2 linked regions of the Arabidopsis thaliana genome follow. The protein of the gene in region 1 interacts with the protein of each later gene in a pairwise test. Each region holds a gene or a part of one and is shown on either strand. Other genes may lie near its edges. The genes, in order: PUB45 and RK3.

Region 1 (6,447 bases):
TTTTTGTATCAGTGATAGATTTGCATATGCTCATTATCATTAAAACTAATTCCTCTGTTTTAGTATCAGTGATAGATCAATATGTCCTTACAAAATTTATATTATTTTAGCCGTCGTTTTAAAATTCTTGTATTTTTCATTGACCACATCTGAGGTTTAAATTGTTACTCGTGGACAAATTTCCGGACGTTAGTACACTTTATAATGACTTATTTGGTACGTCTCATAAATAAATAAGAAGAGGAGAGCCTCAACTAATTAACAAATAGTAATAAATTTGCAGTCCTATATATGTACGATCCAACAAACCAAAAGTTCTAAACGATTCTCAGACCAAACTCAACTTTTTTGTTGCTAATAGGCGATAGTTCATTTATATTTACAAAAAAAAAGGACAATGTTAACCTTTAAAAAAAAAACGACAATGTTAACCTTTAAAAGTTTTTAAATATTATCTGTGGATTAATTTAATATTTTATGGCAAAACTGGAAAATAATGTCTAAATCATTATAAATTTTGGGATATAATAATTCAAAAAAAAAGCGAACATGGTTGCCAACAAATAATTTCTGAAAAAAACATAAAAAACAAAAAATAATAAAGGTTGATTCAAAGAATATTAGTAAGGGAGAAGGTATTATTGTAATTTAGGATATTCAATGTAGAGATCTAAATAGCCGACATATGCATGTATTGTCGGCGCGTGTCGGCCGTCGAAGTCGGCAAATCTCTTTCAACTCTCCCTCTACACAAATTCAAACATTAGTGTTTCAGTACTATAGATTTAAAGTTCAATTCAAAATAATATAAAATGACTACAAATCAGAGTCGATTTATTCATATTTAACTAATTCTTTTTACCAACATTTCAAAATTAAACCAATGACCATCATTTTGGTTTATTTTTAAATTATAATTCCTAGAACATTCGGTAATTAAAAAAGGAAGACAATATTACTATTTACTACAATATGTAGCCTTTTTTTTGACATCGAATGCATTGTCATTTGTCAACAGTACACAGTACACATGCTAAGAAAATATGGCTGACGATAAACTTCTTACATCAACCGAGTCCACTCGAACCCGGTGACAGAGAGACAACCAATGGACTAAGACCACTGGCCCACAAGTCCTAGTCAATGAAGGTGAACCTAGTTGGTTTACAGGAAGAAAACACGATGCAGTTTTTTTTTTTCGATAAAGAATATAATATGAAAGACGTGTTTATTACAATATGAAATGTCGGTGAAAATTGGACCTCTCATTGCCCCTTCGCCATACTTTATTTATTTTTATTTATATGATTAGTAAAAAAAAAATGTCAAAAAGCTTTTTATTCTACATCATTGTATCTATTTTATTACTCATTTTCAACTATCAGTCGACCAAAAAAGAAACTATATAGTATACAAGCCGAAAATCCAATATTAGAATGAAATGTTTTTTGGTAAATAATGATCAACAGTTTCAGTTTCAATTGAAGAAGACTTGGAAACAAAACAGAACAAAATTTGATTCACTAAACTACATTGCATTTTGACTTTAAACGGGCAACACCATAATGATATGTTTTTATCGCATCCAAGAAATCGAAATTATGAGTATCTTAAGAAGCTTTTTTCTTAATAATTAAAATGTCTCCTAATAATACCGTTGCTAAATTCAAATCTAGTAATACTTAAAAATCATTTGAAAAATTAATTGAGTTGATTAATGATTAAACAAATAACAGAATCTTTTTTCTTACAAAGAACATAATTAAAAACAAAACAAAACAAATCTGTTGTGTGTACTTGCGACCTTGCAATTGCCACTCGCAAGTTTTGGCTTTATTTTGACTTGAGAAGAACTTCTCCTCTTTTTTTCTTTCACTAAAATATTTATTTTTATTTTCCTTCAAAAAATCTCCATTCGGTATCAGCCATAGCCAAACCTCTCTTCTCTCTTATTGTTGGGATCGACAAATTTTGCCTTGATTAGCTCGGAAACTTGTAAATCAGAGACCCTCGTAGAAACTACCCAGAAACAGCATCTCCAAGGAACAAATTAATCATTATACTAATGCCTCTGATGCTCTTCTTTTGATTTTGTGATCGACTTCTCTTTATTAAGTCTACACCTACCAGATGCAGATTATAGGTTCATTTTTTTGGTACGTATGTTCCTCTGTTTTTCACCCGATTCAAAAAATGGATTTTTTTTTGTTTATCTGGGTATTTGCTGGAGGAATTAATCAGATTGCTTTTATGGGTTTTTTATTTTTGTTCTTGTGTTCTGATTCCCTCTGTTTCTTGACAAACAAGAATCTTCCTTTGTTGATATTTGGGGTTTTGGTATTCTCATGATTTTGCATCTAATTTGTTTGTTGAAATGCCCCAACTAACCACCTTTTGTTGCTTTTTCGTATTCTTTGCTCTGTTCTTATATACTTTCTCTGTGCAGAACACATTGCATTTTTTAGGAAACACTGATCTATCTGGCTTGTCTGCTATAGATTAGTTTATTTGTCAACTTGTCACTGATTCGGTTCTTTTTCTTCTTGTAGTATTGAACTTTAAGCCGATATAGAGTTGTTGTCATAGATATATACAGCGAGTTATTGAAGCAATGGATGTTAATGAGGTTGAAGAAAATTTCTTTGCCCCTGGTGATGCCAAGGTATCTTAATCAGACCTTTTTTCCAATAATGTTTTTGTTGAGATATCTCCCTAAGACATTAAATTCTTGGTCCTGTAACTTGATGTCTATATGTATCCGTCTTTGTTTCAATTAATACTCTCTTCTGGTTCTTGATTTTGCTCGATTGATCCTGTGATGTACAATAAAATATGTCTAACAGATTCTTGGTCCTGTGGTTTTTAAATACGTGTTACCTATTGCTGTAAGTGTAAGGCATTGGCTAACTGATTCCTGTTTCAGCTACACGGAAAAATGTGCAATGCCCTTTCAGTGATCTACTGCAAGATCATGTCTATTTTCCCGTCGCTTGAAGCTGCTAGGCCGAGAAGCAAATCTGGAATTCAAGCTTTGTGTTCACTTCACGTGGTTTTAGAAAAAGTGAAGAACATTCTACGCCATTGCACTGAATCTAGTAAACTTTATTTGGTAAGTTTTCTGTTTAGTTATGTCTTAAAGATTTCAGAACTAATCCAGTTCTTCTTGTGGAGATTCTCGCTAACTAGCTGGTTTGACATGTAGGCTATAACAGGGGATTCAGTAGTTTTGAAATTTGAGAAGGCGAAATCATCTCTTACAGATAGCCTTAGGCGTGTTGAAGATATAGTCCAACAGTCTATTGGATCTCAGGTAGTTAGTTCTTCGTGTTCCCGTATCTTGGTACTCTTGTTTTCTTCTCTCACAGCAAGTGAATGGAAAGTTAAAGCAGAGAAGCAATATCTCTAGAGTTCAGTGCTTTTATTTTAACCTGTATATCCTACTTTGCAGCTTTTGGAGATTTTGATGGAGTTAGAGAACACCGAGTTTTCACTTGATCCAGCAGAGAAGGAAATTGGCGATCAAATCATTGGATTGCTGCAACAAGGGGGGAATTTTGAGAGCTCATCTGATAATAATGAACTTGAGGTTTTCCATCAGGCTGCTACTAGACTAGGTATCACTTCTTCTAGAGCAGCTCTCACAGAGCGAAGATGCCTCAAGAAACTCATTGAGAGGGCCCGAATGGAGGATGACAAGAGGAAAGAATCAATTGTGGCTTATTTATTACATCTCATGAGGAAATACTCAAAGCTATTCAGAAGTGAGATCTGGGATGACAATGATTCACAGGGTAGTAGTTCATTGCCTTGTTCACCTACTATCCAGGGTTCTATAGACGATGCCCATGGTCGTGCTTTTGACCGTCAGCTGTCAAAACTGAGTTCCTTTAACTTCAGATCCTGCAATAACAATAGGAGATCTTCGCAGATGTCTGTTCCGCCAGAAGAATTGAGGTGTCCGATATCTTTGCAGCTTATGTATGACCCTGTCATTATCGCGTCTGGGCAAACATATGAGAGAATCTGTATTGAGAAATGGTTTAGTGATGGACACAACACATGTCCCAAAACTCACCAGCAGCTCTCTCATCTTTGCTTGACTCCTAACTACTGTGTCAAGGCTCTAATTTCTAGCTGGTGTGAACAGAACGGCGTTCAGGTCCCTGATGGACCCCCTGAGTCTCTAGACCTTAACTATTGGAGGTTGGCGTTGTCTGTGTCCGAGTCCACCGATACGAGATCAGCAAAACGTGTTGGTTCTTGTAAGTTGAAGGATGTGAAGGTGGTTCCTTTGGAAGAAAGTGGAACCATTAAAGAGGAAGCCTGTGAATCAGAATACCAGGAAGATCAAGTTACTCTTGTTGAAAGATGTACGGAATTGTTGACCACTTTAACTGACGTGGATACCTTAAGAAAGAAATGCAGAGTTGTTGAGCAGATAAGAGTATTGCTAAAAGATGATGAGGAGGCCAGGATTCTCATGGGGGAAAATGGGTGTGTTGAAGCGTTGCTTCAGTTTCTGGGATCAGCTCTGAATGAAAATAACGCTTCAGCCCAAAAAGTTGGAGCCATGGCTCTCTTTAACTTGGCTGTGGACAACAACAGGTATGTGAGCAAACGATGTCTCGTTTTCTCTCTCTCAATGATCAAGCACCTAACTTAAATTAGTCTACTAACACATTCGGTTATCTTGAGAATATTGCAAAACTATAGATGGGCTAAGATTTCAAGTTTTCAACAACAAAATCAAGTGGGTTATTCTTATCTTGCCAACTGGAAGATTATATCTCATTTCCGTTGTAATTTTTTGGGAATTTCAGGAACAAAGAGTTGATGCTAGCATCAGGAATTATTCCTTTGCTGGAGGAAATGCTCTGTAATCCACATTCCCATGGTTCAGTGACGGCAATTTATCTGAACCTCTCGTGTCTTGAAGAAGCAAAGCCCGTAATAGGTTCGAGTCTGGCAGTTCCTTTCATGGTAAATCTTCTTTGGACCGAGACTGAAGTCCAGTGCAAAGTCGATGCCCTTCACTCCCTTTTTCACCTGTCCACCTACCCTCCCAATATCCCCTGCCTTTTATCTGCTGACCTTGTCAACGCCCTTCAATCACTCACTATCAGTGATGAGCAACGGTGGACAGAAAAGTCCTTAGCTGTTCTACTTAATTTGGTATTGAACGAGGCAGGAAAAGACGAGATGGTTTCAGCACCTAGCCTTGTGAGCAATCTCTGCACCATTCTTGACACGGGTGAACCAAATGAGCAAGAACAAGCTGTTTCTTTGCTTCTGATATTATGCAATCACAGTGAGATCTGTAGCGAGATGGTTTTACAAGAAGGAGTGATACCTTCTTTGGTATCTATCTCCGTAAACGGTACTCAACGTGGAAGAGAAAGGGCACAGAAGCTACTGACACTATTCAGGGAACTGAGGCAAAGGGATCAAACCCATCTCACAGAACCGCAGCATACAGAAGTCACAAGCCCCGAGGACGGATTCTCTGTTGCTTCAGCCGCTGTAACAGAGACAAAACCGCAGTGTAAATCAGCCTCGAGAAAGAAAATGGGAAGAGCATTCAGCTTTCTATGGAAAAGTAAGAGCTTCTCAGTTTACCAGTGTTGAGTCATGTCTTTATTACCTTTAGTTGATGTAAAGTTGTACTTTGTTTTCCCCATCTCAAGACTTATATCTCTTTTTGAAAGTCTTGGAGGTAAAGAGAAAAGAAGCTTGTATAGGTATGTAGTTTATATCCAAGGATTTTTGGGTTCTGGTTATACAAATTGTCAAATTACAATGTACTTGTTGGGTGTAGGTTTTATAACTACTAATGAGAAATATTTTTACTCTGAAAGCAACTTTGTCATAAATTAAAGGACGAGATACGAAATTCATAAAAGATAAGACCAAGAGCCGCTGAACAAAGGAGAGGGTCTTAAGTACACTTGTGGCTTGCTTGATTTTTCTCGCTTTATTTTCTATTTTTCGATTTTCATATAATATACAGAGAAGATTTTGAACGGAAAAGGTTTAGGAAAAATGTGTTGTTGATTTGAGATTTCTCGAAGTGTTGGTGAGCGATTAGGGTTCTGTATTGTGAATCTATCGCGTCGTTCGTCGGAGAATGAATTTCGTTGTACAGAGATTTTAGACTGAACCTAAGCAGAACTTGCAGGTTACAGTTTCCTTTCGTCGATCGATTGCTGAACTTGATAGGTTCTTTGAGTGTTTCTCTGCGATATGGCGAACCTTCCGATCCTTCAATTTGAAGAGAAGATCGTGGAAACAGTGGAGAAGAATTCAGTGGTAGTTATAATTGGAGAAACCGGTTCTGGGAAGAGTACTCAGCTCTCTCAGATACTTCATCGACATGGTTACACAAAGTCCGGCGTCATCGCCATCACTCAGCCCCGACGTGTTGCTGCCGTTTCCGTTGCCAGGTTATTT
Region 2 (6,532 bases), on another chromosome or scaffold:
TGGGAGATCAGAGGAGCTTGTGGATCCTAAGATCAGGGTCACATGCAGTAAGCGAGAGGCCTTGAGATGCATACACGTAGCGATGCTATGTGTTCAAGATTCGGCTGCGGAGAGACCCAACATGGCTTCAGTTTTGCTTATGTTAGAGAGTGACACAGCGACGCTCGCTGCGCCTAGACAACCAACGTTTACTTCCACCAGAAGAAACTCCATTGATGTCAACTTTGCTCTTGATTCGAGCCAACAATACATCGTTTCTTCTAATGAGATCACTTCAACGGTTGTTCTTGGACGATAAGATTCTTTTGTTTGTTCTTTTGTAAAGTTTTTTTTTATATAATTGTTGTGAAAACGTATAATATTTTTTGGTTAATTAGGATAATGGAGTAATGGTTGTTGAAACTTGAAATTTTGTTCATAAAGTGAAACATTACAAATGGGGTTTTATTACAGTATGATGTTGATATTTTGAAAAAATCACCACACTATTCTTTTTCAAAAATATCACAATGGATCAATTTACAAGTATAAACAAATGAAAACAGATAAAATATCAAAAAGCATTTATCTGAAATAAATCTTCAAATAAATCGTTTATACTATAACAAAGGTGGTAGTCTTAAAATATTTAGGTTAGTTTTGAAATGAGGATCATAATAATTGTTTTTCATTCTATTAAATATAGGTGAGTTGTTTCAAATATTGTAGGATTATTGTGTTTAATTTAATTAAAATGTGATTGATTTTTATGTATAGAGTTATTATATATAAATCAAACGAGGAACGAAGAATTATGAGGATGTTCAAAAATAAGACTTTTGGAGCGTTGACTATGGTAATTAGTACTGTTTTGATGGTGAAAAGAGTATTCGGTCTTCGTATTTCATACTTATATAATATACCTAAAACCGTGTTAACATAAATTTTCCTCTCCTCCAAGCTCCAAAGCCAAAAATCGTCAAACAAAATGCATAGGACAACATTATATTTGGTGATGAATAATTCAAATGTAGACTCATTATTAAATTGAATGGAATGATGAATTATTTAGAGTTAGAGAAAAAAAGAAAAAGTCAGGAAAACGTGAAACGACCCCTTTCTTTTTTGTCTTCGGAGAATGCGGAAATAAATTAAAGTAGGGTTTGTTTGATGAATACTAACATTGAAGTTCTTATTGGGAAGGATAAAAAAAAAATTGAGTTATTTATTACGAAAAAGAACACTGAAATTTATATAACTCTCGAAGCATGCATACAAAAGGTTGACTGATAATAAAATACGAAAAAGCAATATATTAAGTAATTTATTAAAAAAAATGGTCATCAATAATATCATATTTTGAAGAAAAATTCTGAATTTATGAAGTAAAAATGACTATTGGAAAAGGAAAGAAAGCCTGACAAAAAAAAAGAAGAAGAAGACTTTTTATTTGCTAGGTCAACTATGAATTGGACTGTACACATAGTACATAACTAGATATTTTTTCCAAATGCGAACAAGAAGACCAAGAAAAGAAAAAAAGCAAGGTAATATATTATTGACAGAAATAAAATCGGTTACGTAAGGTTCACACATTACACAAAACATGTCCGATATCTCCAATGGAAATAAACTCTCATACTTTTCTCAAGAAAGAGTGAAAAACAAAAAACTTGGTTTAGAGAAATGAGAGGTTTACCAAATTTCTACCATTCTTACACCTTCTTCTTCTTCTTCCTCTTAATTCTGTTCCCTGCTTACTCTATCTCTGCCAACACTTTGTCGGCTTCAGAATCTCTAACTATCTCAAGCAATAACACCATTGTGTCTCCTGGTAATGTCTTCGAGCTTGGTTTCTTCAAACCCGGTTTAGATTCTCGTTGGTATCTTGGAATTTGGTACAAGGCAATCTCTAAGAGAACCTACGTATGGGTTGCAAACAGAGACACTCCTCTCTCTAGTTCCATCGGAACTCTCAAAATCTCCGACAGTAATCTTGTCGTTTTGGATCAGTCCGATACACCGGTTTGGTCGACGAATCTGACCGGAGGAGATGTGAGATCTCCATTGGTGGCAGAGCTTCTTGATAATGGTAATTTTGTGCTCAGAGACTCCAAGAACAGCGCTCCAGATGGAGTTTTGTGGCAGAGTTTTGATTTTCCGACAGATACTTTACTTCCGGAGATGAAACTTGGCTGGGATGCCAAAACCGGGTTCAACAGATTCATTAGATCATGGAAATCTCCAGATGATCCATCAAGTGGAGATTTCTCGTTCAAACTCGAAACCGAAGGCTTCCCTGAGATTTTTCTATGGAACAGAGAATCACGAATGTACCGGAGTGGTCCATGGAATGGAATCCGGTTTAGTGGTGTACCGGAGATGCAACCATTTGAATACATGGTTTTCAATTTCACTACGAGTAAAGAAGAAGTGACTTACTCATTTAGAATCACTAAAAGCGACGTTTACTCGAGATTAAGCATAAGCTCCTCAGGATTGTTACAAAGATTCACTTGGATTGAGACAGCACAGAATTGGAACCAATTCTGGTACGCACCAAAAGACCAATGTGATGAGTACAAAGAGTGTGGTGTTTACGGTTATTGCGACTCGAACACTTCACCTGTTTGTAATTGTATTAAAGGGTTTAAGCCGAGGAATCCTCAAGTGTGGGGATTGAGAGACGGGTCGGATGGTTGCGTGAGGAAGACGCTACTGAGCTGTGGTGGCGGAGATGGGTTTGTGCGGTTGAAGAAAATGAAATTGCCGGATACTACCACGGCTAGTGTGGACAGAGGAATTGGTGTGAAAGAATGTGAACAGAAGTGTTTAAGAGATTGTAATTGCACGGCGTTTGCGAATACGGATATCCGGGGTAGCGGGTCGGGTTGTGTGACTTGGACCGGAGAGCTTTTTGATATCAGGAATTATGCCAAAGGTGGTCAAGATCTTTACGTTAGATTGGCTGCTACTGATCTCGGTTAGTTCATTCTCCACTATCTCTATTAGACTAAATGACATATGTTTGGTTTTCATTTTCCACATATTTACTTTTGCTAAGTAACGGTTGATAATAGTCTTCAAGATCACTTTTCAAAACATGTAAACAGTTTTATACATACTAGAAACTAAAAAGACATCATAAAAGATTTTGTCAGTAAGACTAAAAATTGATGCTAAAACTGCCCAATCAAGTTATTGAGTAATCCTATCACATTATACTAAAGATTTTCTTAAACGACAAAAGGAAGAAACGTTTTTTAAGGGTTTCAAGAATAGTAATTAACTTGGTTGTTAGATAAAGCACTTTTTTTTTGGGGTAGAATGTGAGAATGGTGTTGAATAGTGCAAGTCAATGTTATATTGTTGTTGGTTAACGAATTTGGAATTTAACAAAACGTTTTTCAGTTTTATTTTCCCTCTTTTCAAACTTCTTAAACTTGATTGAGATGTTGACGCATTCGGTCTTGGCATTATATGTGAAAACTCTTGTGATAAAGAACTAAGGTCCAATGGACTTTTAATCTTCTTAAAAGATGCAACGCATGAGTGAAACTTTTGATTACTACTATATTCTTCACAAAAACTTATCAATCTCAAGAATAATATGGTAAGGTAGATCCAAAGCCAAAAGAAATTATTTTTAGGTAGACCAATCTTTATGTTTTGTTTTTATTGGCGATAACAGTATAACGCTGTTTTTTGTTTGTTGGCGTTTATCTTTAATCAAAAGTACGACAATGTTTATTATTTTGTTAAATCATAAGACTAATACTAGTTTGTTTTATAAAATGATATTCATTTCCATGGTCGAGGTCCTAAATGTTGTGCTCAATTTGACATCTCTTTTCATTATTTCAGAGGACAAAAGAAACAGAAGTGCAAAAATCATAGGTTCGAGTATTGGAGTGAGCGTTTTGCTTCTTTTAAGTTTCATTATCTTCTTCTTGTGGAAAAGGAAGCAGAAGCGATCAATACTAATCGAAACACCTATTGGTATATCTGTAAATTTTAATTCCTTTCTTTTTGTTTGTAAATTTCTTAAAACTAATATCTTTACTGTTTTTGGTGTCTGTATGTAACAGTTGATCATCAACTGAGAAGCCGAGATTTGCTAATGAACGAAGTTGTAATATCAAGTAGGAGACACATATCTAGAGAAAACAATACAGACGATCTCGAATTGCCATTGATGGAGTTTGAAGAAGTTGCCATGGCCACAAACAATTTTTCTAACGCCAACAAGCTAGGACAAGGTGGTTTTGGTATAGTTTATAAGGTAAAAATGATTGAAAACTTAATTCATAATCTATCGCTGGACAAATATTTCGTTGTGTAACAAAATTAAGGGTTACAGGGAAAGTTACTTGATGGTCAAGAAATGGCAGTGAAGAGACTATCAAAGACATCAGTTCAGGGGACTGATGAGTTCAAGAATGAGGTAAAGTTGATTGCAAGGCTTCAGCACATAAACCTTGTTAGGCTTCTTGCATGTTGCGTCGATGCGGGTGAGAAGATGTTGATTTACGAGTACTTGGAAAATCTAAGCCTCGACTCTCATCTATTTGGTTAGTGTCTCAACTCCTTACAACTCTGTTCTAACAATTTTTCAATGTCTTTAAAAATAATGTACTCAATCCAGTGATGATTCATTAGCAGACAAATCCCGAAACTCTAAGCTAAATTGGCAAATGAGATTTGATATCATCAATGGTATTGCTCGAGGACTTCTATATCTTCACCAAGATTCACGGTTTAGAATTATCCATAGAGACTTGAAAGCAAGTAACATCTTGCTTGATAAATATATGACTCCAAAGATCTCGGATTTCGGAATGGCTAGGATCTTTGGACGGGATGAGACAGAAGCTAATACGAGGAAGGTGGTTGGAACCTAGTAAGCAATCATTCTCCAAAATATTAAAAATCTTTGTTTGAAATCTGAATTAAAAAAAAATAACTCAAAACTTTGAGTCTAATCTTCGTTATTCAGCGGTTATATGTCTCCTGAATATGCAATGGACGGGATATTCTCGATGAAGTCAGATGTTTTCAGTTTTGGGGTCTTGCTTCTTGAGATTATAAGTAGCAAGAGGAACAAAGGATTCTACAATTCGGACCGTGACCTTAACCTTCTCGGTTGTGTAAGTTAAAAACCTCTCAAACTTGATCTTGTTTTACACTCAAAATAATGATAACACTAGAAAAATTTCGATCATTATACACAGGTGTGGAGGAATTGGAAAGAAGGAAAAGGGCTAGAGATCATAGATCCAATCATCACAGATTCTTCATCAACATTCAGGCAACATGAAATCTTAAGATGCATACAAATTGGCCTCTTGTGTGTTCAAGAACGTGCAGAGGACAGACCAACTATGTCCTTGGTAATTTTGATGCTCGGAAGCGAATCAACAACTATTCCTCAACCTAAAGCGCCCGGTTATTGCCTGGAGAGAAGTCTTCTTGACACTGATTCTTCGTCGAGTAAACAGCGCGACGATGAATCATGGACAGTGAACCAAATTACTGTCTCGGTCCTTGATGCTCGGTAATGTGACTGTCAACTAGCCAATCTTCTATACTAAGATGACTAAATTGAGCGACAATAAGAATCAACTAGGAAAGATGGTATTAGTTATGTGCATAGTATTTTCTCTGTACGTCTCCGTTGCAAAGGTTACTACATGATTCAATTGTCTTAATTAAGCATGTATTCTGTAATTGCTTTATGGATAACCCAAATAGTCCTGCAGTTATAGGACATCAATGTGATATTTTGAAAGATTCTCAGACTTTCATATTATAAATTATGGCTACTAGAAGAGGCAAATATTGTTGGTTAGTAGAATTTCGGGTTGTACGTTTTGAGATTAGGTTTGTACATGTTGTAATAGATTTTTTTTTTAATAAGTACATACGTTATAAGAATTTTTTATGATCAGCAACACCTATTTCCATCGCTAACCATGGCCAAAATCCGGTGGATTTAATTTATGGGCTTTAGGAAGATCATGGGGGTATAGTGGATTTTTTGTTTTTAACTGATGACAGAGTAAATCCTTCATGGTTCCTTCATTTTAAGGTGATTTCAAATTTTCCTTCATTTCAAGGTGATTTCAATGTTTGTAGAGGCTTGATTAAAATTGTTTTAGATCATAAGGATTTTTGTGCATCAAAAGTGTTCGCAATTTCAATGTTTGGAGAGGCTTGATTAAAATTGTTTTAGATCATAAGGATTTTTATGCATCAAAAGTGTTCTGTCAAAATTCCTTAATTAACCTTTGATGAGTAGCTCGTCCTTTAATAATGATAGTTGATATACAGAATTGTGATTTATGAGCACATTAATATTGACATGAATGCTTGCTAATTTAAATTTTAAATGAGAGTTTAGAAATTTAGAATATTTAGCATAGATAATTAATTTCTTGAGAGATGATTTTTTTTGGTCGGGTTCTTGAGAGATGATTAGTGTTATATATTCGTGATCTCTTAATGGTTGTCCTTACTTCTTATTTATGCTTTGTTTCCCTAATCTTTATGATAA

The links.
Region 2: the proteins of PUB45 (region 1) and RK3 interact in a two-hybrid assay, tested with the Arabidopsis thaliana proteins (one study listed by BioGRID).

Annotation. Positions count from the first base shown.
Region 1 is NC_003070.9:9,720,140-9,726,586, reverse strand, and holds PUB45 (plant U-box 45), read left to right. Parts: upstream 1-1,786; 5' UTR 1,787-2,156; intron 2,157-2,549; 5' UTR 2,550-2,611; coding exon 2,612-2,662; intron 2,663-2,923; coding exon 2,924-3,109; intron 3,110-3,202; coding exon 3,203-3,310; intron 3,311-3,448; coding exon 3,449-4,605; intron 4,606-4,820; coding exon 4,821-5,625; 3' UTR 5,626-5,854; downstream 5,855-6,447. Other genes in the region: AT1G27900 (RNA helicase family protein), read left to right, coding at 6,241-6,440. UniProt on the Arabidopsis thaliana protein: Functions as an E3 ubiquitin ligase.
Region 2 is NC_003075.7:11,388,224-11,394,755, reverse strand, and holds RK3 (receptor kinase 3), read left to right. Parts: upstream 1-1,529; 5' UTR 1,530-1,665; coding exon 1,666-2,962; intron 2,963-3,843; coding exon 3,844-3,978; intron 3,979-4,067; coding exon 4,068-4,261; intron 4,262-4,339; coding exon 4,340-4,550; coding exon of another isoform or gene 4,551-4,555; exon of another isoform or gene 4,556-4,641; coding exon 4,642-4,879; intron 4,880-4,975; coding exon 4,976-5,126; intron 5,127-5,210; coding exon 5,211-5,537; 3' UTR 5,538-5,929; downstream 5,930-6,532. Other genes in the region: B120 (S-locus lectin protein kinase family protein), read left to right, coding at 1-298. UniProt on the Arabidopsis thaliana protein: Involved in the regulation of cellular expansion and differentiation.